Canis lupus familiaris: one gene and its partner. The protein of the gene in region 2 interacts with the protein of the main gene of each other region in a pairwise test. Links are inferred from orthologs where the notes say so. Each region holds a gene or a part of one and is shown on either strand. Other genes may lie near its edges.

The links.
Region 1: the proteins of WW domain-containing adapter protein with coiled-coil (region 2) and DYDC1 interact in binary tests that used the Homo sapiens proteins (3 or more experiments, as listed by UniProt). The two-hybrid records come from large-scale screens. The link is inferred for Canis lupus familiaris from reciprocal best matches to the Homo sapiens genes WAC and DYDC1.

The regions. Positions count from the first base shown.
Region 1 is NC_049225.1:30,231,246-30,235,670, reverse strand, and holds the start of DYDC1 (DPY30 domain-containing protein 1), read left to right. Parts: upstream 1-1,363; 5' UTR 1,364-1,379; exon of another isoform or gene 1,380-1,535; intron 1,536-1,560; exon of another isoform or gene 1,561-1,712; intron 1,713-3,682; exon of another isoform or gene 3,683-3,823; intron 3,824-4,425. UniProt on the Homo sapiens protein: Functions as part of axonemal radial spoke complexes that play an important part in the motility of sperm and cilia. Plays a crucial role during acrosome biogenesis.
Region 2 is NC_049223.1:15,363,730-15,367,540, forward strand, and holds part of WW domain-containing adapter protein with coiled-coil, read right to left. Parts: intron 2,162-3,811; coding exon 1,916-2,161; intron 428-1,915; coding exon 305-427; intron 1-304.

The DNA of each region.
Region 1 (4,425 bases), on a different chromosome or scaffold from region 2:
AGATCTACTTTGCCTTTATGGCAGGAGAACCGCCCTTCCCAGGGAGCGGAATCCCCACTCTGCCACAAGCCTCTCCACTTTCCAGCCCCTGAGCGCCTGCTCTCCTGTGTAGGCCGCAAATCCTTTCTGGAGGAAGCATCTGCTCTAAATTGCACGTTTTCAACCATGGTCTCCATGAATTTTGGAGCCTGACGGTTTACTAAAACTTGATGCAAAGACAAGAGAGCCAGAATGACAGAGCCACAGCTCAGGGCCAGGAGAGGGAGGGGCCAAAGAGGTGCCTTTTGCAGCCCTCTCTCCACAAACTGAAGGGCACATTTAGCAGAGGAGAGGGGCCTAGTTTTCCTAGAGCTCCTCTGGGAGTCCTTCACACGCCCTCCCTGTTCACCGCCTAGCAACCCAGGAGGCAGGCTGGGAAGCACAGAGGTGGCCTTGCCACACCACACTCCCAGGGCTAGGCGCACGGTGGGTGCTCGCAAGTATTTTTTGACTTAATCTCCGAAGGCTCTGGCTTGCTGGCCAGGGCAAGAGCCTCCGCTCCTTCCCAGCTGTCAGCGCCCACTCTGGTACTCCTGGCCTTAACCGCCGGGGCTGAGGCCGCTCCTGCCCAGCACCGCCCAACACAGATTAATCCAGAACCTGGGAAATGCTAGCAGAGGGTTGTCCACAAAACACTAGGTCAGGGAAGACCTGCTGCGGTGGAGGCGGGGCCTTCTGGAGGCAGAAGCACCTGTGCTGGTCCCAAGAGGGGCCAGGCGGGGTCACCAGCAACCGCAAAGGTGCGGAGCCGGCAGGGGGCCATGGGACTTTCCCAGCCTGGGTGGGCAGGCGCCCTCTGCGGCCTGTCCCACGACCCCGCCGCCCCGGCCCTCCCAGTGCACACGGGCCTGCCCGCCTCTGGCTCCGTCCTCCCAGCCTGCAGGTCTCAGGCTCGGCTCCATCCTCCCAGCCTGCAGGTCGCAAGCTCAGCTCCGTCCTCCCTCCCGCAGGTTGCAGGCTCCGTCCTCCCAGCCCGCAGGTCTCAGGCTCGGCTCCATCCTCCCAGTCTGCACGTCGCAAGCTCAGCTCCGTCCTCCCTGCCCACCGGCTCCGTTCTATCCTCCCAGCCCGCAGGTTCTAGGCCCTGCTCCATCCTCCCAGCCCGCAGGCCGCAGGCCCTGCTCCGTCCTCTCTCCCGCAGGTGGCAGGTTCGGTCCTCCCTGCCCGCAGGTCGCAGGCCCCGCTCCGTCCTCCCTCCCGCAGGTCGCAGGCCCCGCCACACCCGCGCCCGGTCCTCCCCGCCGCCCGCCCGCCCCCCGCGCCCCTACCGCGTGCAGGGAGCCACCTGGGTCCGGGGCGCGCGCTCGTTGCCTAGCGACGGGACGCGCCTCGCGGGGCCGGTAGGTGCGCGCGTCGGGTGTGCGCATGCCCAGCGCGGACGCCCAGCGCCCCGCCCCGCGGCGGGTGCTTGGGGGGGCCCGCGGCAGCCGCGGGTGCGGCCTCGGCCTGGTGAGCGGGGAGGGGCCCCGGCGGCGCCCGGGCTGCCCGGCTGAGAGGTTAGTGCCGCGCCCTGGCAGCGCCGCCGCCTCCGGGCCCGCCCCGCCCGGTCCTCCGGGGCCACGCAGGGCGGAGGGGGAGGGGACGCGGAAGGCCCGAGACCCCTCTGCAGACCCAGGATGGGGAAACCATGCAGGCTCCCCAGGTCGGAGGGTGCCAGGTAAAGCCCGGCACAGGTGAGCTCCAGGTAGACGACGAACCAGCTGGCTTATGCTGCCCTGTGCTAAGCGTTACTCCCTGTTTCTCCAAAATTCATATTGACCCGGGCATCCTATATATATATATAGGATATAATGTATATATATTAGATTTTATTTATTTATTCATGAGATTGACACAGGCAGAGACACAGGCCGAGGGAGAAGTAGGCTCCCCGAGGAACGTCTGATGCGGGACTCGATCCCGCGACCCCAGGGTCACGCCCTGAGCCGAAGGCGGGTGCTCCACCACTGAGCCACCCAGGGGTCCCATCCGTATTATTTTGTGCCGCATCGGGCAACTCCACCCGAACCCCCTCCCCTCCCGCCAGGCTGGGCGGCCCCCCCCCGCTTGGGCAAGGGACCTCTTTGTATCTCTTGTTCGGCCTCTCCAGGCTTGAGGGAGCCGTGTCTCTGCGAAAGGCCTTTCTTACCTGGAGCCGAGATGAGATGCCTGTTAGTGTGTCTGAAAAATAACAACCTGTGAGTTGGGTTTTATCACCATTTCGTGGACAGGAAACCAGGGAAGCCAAGTAAGGAGCTTCCTGGGCTCTGCTATCCCGTGCCCAGGAGGATTCGGGATCAGATTCTACTCCTAGCCCAGAAGTTTCTCCCTTGGGGACATGGTCCCTTTCCCGAGTATTATCCTTCTGGAACAGCAGCACGAATCTGTTCTTTCTTTTATGTTTCAAGTGACATTGAGATGTCACTGTCGTCATTTTTGTCTTTTTGAGTGTGTCGCGTCGAAGAAGCACAGTGAGGATGCTGCGTCTCACACTCGCTGATACTGTAATTCTTCTCTCCGTGTGGTGAAGACACCAACGCCAGCTTGAAAGGGAATTCGGTTCATTCGTGCCAGTTTGCAGAGCTTAAGTTTTTATGACCACGTTTATGGGCACACATACACACATTCCTTTCCCCACTGCTTTCAACAAAAGAGGTGGCTTACTCTATAAACAATTTCTGCACCTTTTTAATTCACTTTGCACCGTGTCCTAGAGATCACTCCCTATTTTAAAGATCTTCCTCGTGCCTTTTATATGATATATATGCACCGTCATCCATCGTGTTGCTGTGTCTCATCAGTCCCTTAATGATGAGCTTTTGGATGAGGCTCCAGTTTGACTGTTCTAAGTAATGGAGCAAAATAACCACATGCACATATCATCGCTCCATATTTTTGCAAGTTAAGATCCGACAAGTGAGATCAATGGTTTAAAGGGTAAATACTTACGTAATTTTCTAGATACTGCCAAATTCCTCTGCGCAGGGGTTATACCATTTTGTACCCTCACCATCGTCAAATGAGAGAGAGCACTTTGGGGATTGAAGGATGAACCTCAGGAGGTTGTTGTTTCTGAAATTTTATGCAGAACATTTGGTGCATTTGTCCAGGGACAGGCCTAGACATGCTGGCATTCTGTTCTCTCATGTTCAGCTCATACCTGACCAATGATGCGTATAGTATATATTTACTGAATGATGAAGACATTTCATTAGATTCTTAGAAGTGACTGGTTTCCATAAGGGTAATTTGAGAGTGATAGTTTTTTTTCAAAGCACCGGAAGTACAGTGTTTGCTATATTCTTTCCTCCCTGCCTCCTTCCTTCTTTCCTTCCTTCCCTCCCTCCTTCCTTCTTTTCCTTCCTTCCTTCCTTCCTTCCTTCCTTCCTTCCTTCCTTCCTTCCTTCCTTCCTTCTTTCCCTCTTTCCCTCCCTCCCTCTCCTTCCTTATTTCCCTCCTTCCCTCCCTCCTTCCCTCCCTTCCTCTCCTTCCTTCTTTCCTTCCTTCCCTCCCTCTCTCCTTCCTTCCTTCCTTCCTTCCTTCCTTCCTTCCTTCCTTCCTTCCTTCCTTCCTTCCTTCCTTCCTTCCTGTCTGGTCTAAGATTGTTCCTGTCCACCTTCATAACTGCATAGACTGGGACATTACTGGGAGGATGGAGGAAGTCATTCACGTGCCTCCACGGAGAGCCAGCACGCCTGCCCTGTGATTAAAACACACTCCTTGAGGAGCTGGAGGAGCTTGTCTTCTAGCAGGAGGACAGACATGTGTGTACACACACGATCTCGGCGTGCATGACAAGTGCTGTGTGAGTCGCTTGGAGAAGGTGGGGCTTCTTTGCGTTGCTTGGGAAAGTCCAGGGAATGAGAGAGGGCCAGCATCTTGCAGGCGAGGAGATGTTTCCTCAGCTGGGAGATAGAGAGAAAGCGTTATGGGCAGAAGTCTTGGAGATGGCGGTGTGCAAGGCGTGGCTGTCAGGATGGCAGACTGCTGAGGGTTGTCAGAGCCCAGGATATGCTGGCGGCAGGGGAGAGGTCTGGGGTGAGCCTGAGAAGAAATTGGGGCCAGGGGATCCCTGGGTGGCTCAGCGGTTTAGCACCTGCCTTTGGCCTAGGGTGTGATCCTGGAGTCCTGGGATCGAGTCCCACGTCGGGCTCCTGGCATGAGCCTGCCTCTCCCTCTGCCTGTGTCTCTGCCTCTCTCTCTCTGTGTGTCTATCATGAATAAATAAATAAAGTCTTAAAAGAAAAAAAAGAAATTGGGGCCAAAGTGTGAGGAGCTTCATATGCTATTCCTCGAAGGTTGAATTTTTTTGTTTACTTTTTTGTCCTTGGAGATTCATGGACTTTTGGGGTTTTTTGTTTGTTTGTTTTTATTTTTGAGGTAGAGTATTATGATATTATGGGTATT
Region 2 (3,811 bases):
TCAGGGGTGTTTGAGTGGCTCAATAGGTTGGGCATCTGCCTTCTGCTCAGGTCATGGTCTCAGGGTCCCAGGATTGAGCCCCACATTAGGCTCCCTGCTCAGCAGAAAGTCTGTTTCTCCCCGCCCTCATGTACATTCTCTCAAATAAATAAATAAATAAATAAAATTAAAAACAAATTACAGGATCCTGTAAAACAAACATCAAATTGTTATAGCTAGTCTCTTCAGAAACCAAAAAGTTTTACCATGAACCCCCTGCTCCAAATTAATATACAATTCTCACAATACCTAAGAAAATGAATACCTTGTGTAGAGAGCTGAGCAGCTTGAGAAATCAAAGAAGTTATGTTGAAAGCAGATGGTCCAGCAGTAAGAAACTTATGAATTATAGACTGCAATGAGGCTTGTGTCACAGCTGCTGTAAGAACTAAACACATATCTTAAATTAAAATAAAAACATAGTGGCACAGTATGGTATTAGTAACAACTTGAAAACTAAAAAAACCCCAAAGAAACTGCAGTGTTTCAAACTAGAACTCTCAAAATAAAAATCTGTAAGATGGTAATAAAATGGGTCCAGAGATAGGAAATGATCAGAGGTAGAAGAAATTTAATGGTTTTTTTTGTAAAGGAAAACAGTAGTTTTCCTTTGCATTAAAATTTGTGTTCAATTTAAGAAACTCCGGAGACTTTTTAAAAACAGTAAAGAGTGTTCCCTGGAAATTCTGATTATACCAGAAATCTATTCATCAATAGCTAAAGGGCTTTTGTAGGTTACCTGAAATTAAAAAGATAAAGGGTAGTTATTTCATGTGAATGCTTTACTAAACAAGGTGACCATTAAAACCCTACATTAGGGCAGCCCAGGTGGCTCAGCGGTTTAGTGCCTGCCTTCAGCCCAGGGCATGATCCTGGAGACCCGGGATCGAGTCCCATGTCAGGCTCCCTGCATGGAGCCTGCTTCTCCATCTGCCTGTGTCTTTGCCTCTCTTTCTCTCTGTGCCTCTCATGAATAAATAAATAAAATCTTTAAAAATAAAATAAAATAAAACCCTACATTAATACCCACTCCAACAATCTTTTAAAGAACAGACATTAAATAAAAGAAGCTAGGTAATTTAGGAACATCATTTATTTTCAAAGATCCTTTATTATTGACATTTTCTTATGCTATCATCTCTTCAAACTGCATAAAGTCCTACTTTCCCTAGTAAAACATGTACCTATCAAATAGAATGGCACAGTTATCTTAAGAGAATAAAATCAAAATGCAAGAAAGTACAGTAAGAACAAAATTATTGACCAACTAGCGTGAAATAGCTCCATTTTTAAGATAAAGGAAGAACTTAACCATTTAGCACTACTGTTAAATATATTATGTAACAATGTACACATACTGAAATGGACTATTCTAAACAGAAAATTTTAAAATGCTCTTAAGACTGTTTGAATTTGAATAGCTTGTCAATTAAAACTATATCCACTTTTATTCAGACTTCTTTGATGTTGCTAGCTAAATAGCATACTGAAAAGCAAAGTTGGAATTAACAATATGCTAGAATTTAAGTGTTTTTATATCAGTTTTTAGAAATGCTCTTTAATTAAAAAAAAAAAAAGACATTTATTATACACATTAAGCAGACAGAATAGCTTTATCTCCGGTAAATACCGTACACAGCAAGTCTTGAAAAATATACAGAGAAAAAAAAAAAAAGAAAAATATACAGGAAAAATCCAAGTACTACTAACTTAATTACAATACCAAAGGTTTTCAACAACCATGAGGTTATGATATGAATTTCAAAGAATGACGCTCAAATGTGAATTTCAAAATGAAACAAAAGACCACTCCTAAATTGGGGAATTTACTAACGACACGAAGCAAATAATAATAATAAAACTGTTACCAATTTACCTTCATTTATTTTGGATATGTCCACATTAGAATTATTAAGTTGCAGCGTGGCTTGCAAAGCAGGAAGCAGCTGTCTGAGAAGGTTGGGGTCCTGAAGTAATGGAGGTATCGGTGACTGTGGAACAGGAGAAACAGGGATTGCTGACGCAGATGTTGGAGGTGCAGATGTGGGATTCAGTCCAGAGGCAGAGGATGTGGAAGGAGTTGTGCAAGAATGTGATACAGATTTGTCTCCTGGTGCAGACTCTAAGTAAAAAGGAGATAACAAGGCTGAAAAAAAACTACTTGGAGAAAACTAGAACCAACATCGAAAGAGCAACTTTCATGTGCCAAACACCAAAAAAAACTACTTGGAGAAAACTAGAACCAACATCGAAAGAGCAACTTTCATGTGCCAAACACCCAACTCAAGTAATTTCATTCCATCTTCCCAAGGTGACACAGGGAGGGGGCTCAGTAAAGATCTACCTACTTAGAATAATAGGGTTAAGTATTTTTATATCCCAATTTCACAGGTGAGAAAACTAAACAAGAAAGATTATGTAACTTGCTTGAAATCACAAAACTTGGTAAAGCAGTGATTCTGCTATATTCATGTCTGATTCTAAAAGTCTCATGTTCTGTTTACTGGTAATGCTGTTTCAAACACAGTTATGTATTAACTACACGTTCAAATAAGCTTCTATTAAGATAAAGGTACAATACAATTCTCCTGGACTTAATTTAAGGTGAAAATGTTTATGACCACAGTAAGAGCCCTCCAAAACATGACAATGACCAGAAAACAAATCAGGATTTAACACCATGGCGAGCACCTCCAATATAGGCTACAGATCAGAAGAATGAAACTCCAACTTTGAACTTTCATACTTAACAATTGAGTTTCCAGATTACATACTTTCCTTCTATAAATATATCTATTTGTCACATTTAAAACTTATTAGCACTAGAAATGATGCTTTTTTAATAGCAACCCATCCACAATACATATATTCAGTATTTTAAATAAACCAAAAATAAATAAATAAATAAAACATGCACGGAAAATGGTCATTATCTGAAAGCTATAATTGCAAATTACATATATAGAGTCAATGCAATCGCAATCAAAACTCCAAAAGCATTTTTGGCAGTATTTGAGAAGTTGATTCTATTAACTTATTTGAAAAAGGTAAGGGCTAGTACGGCCATGAAGTTCATGAAAAAAAAAAAGAACACAGCTAGTGAAATGTGTCTTGCCAGTATAAAAACTCACAATTGAAAGAAAACCAATATAAGGTCGATTAAACTTCTGTTATGTGTCTTTAGAACTAGAAGATGAAAACAAGAAGGTATCTTTGACATCTAGACGCAGAAAACTACAAAAAGCAAACCAATTACATTCAAAGCACAGATAAGTATTCTAAGGAACTCCTATAATCAGAAAAGACAAACTACACGAAAGAAAAATGAACAAAAGATGAAATAAAGACATTTCCCAGAAGAAACTGGAATGGCTTTACAATTTTTATAATAATACAATGCTTGTTTCTATTTTAGCACAAAACTAGAAACAAACTAAATGTTCACCAACAGAAAGATGAACACTGTACTTTCATACCATGGAATATTACTAATATAATAACTTTAAAGAAAGAAAAAAAGAGGAACAGAGGACCTCTGGATAAAAATATTAAAACAACTAATCAAGATGTTCATGCATATGCTTACAATACTGGCCTAAATATGAAGATTTGCTAAAAATCTTTAATTTTCCATACACACCTATTTCTTGAAGATTTTCAAGTTTGTGTGTGTGTATATATATATATATATATATATATATATATATCCCAAATTAAGACTATTATATGATGTATAAAAGTTGCAGGAATACTGCATCTGAATATTACACTG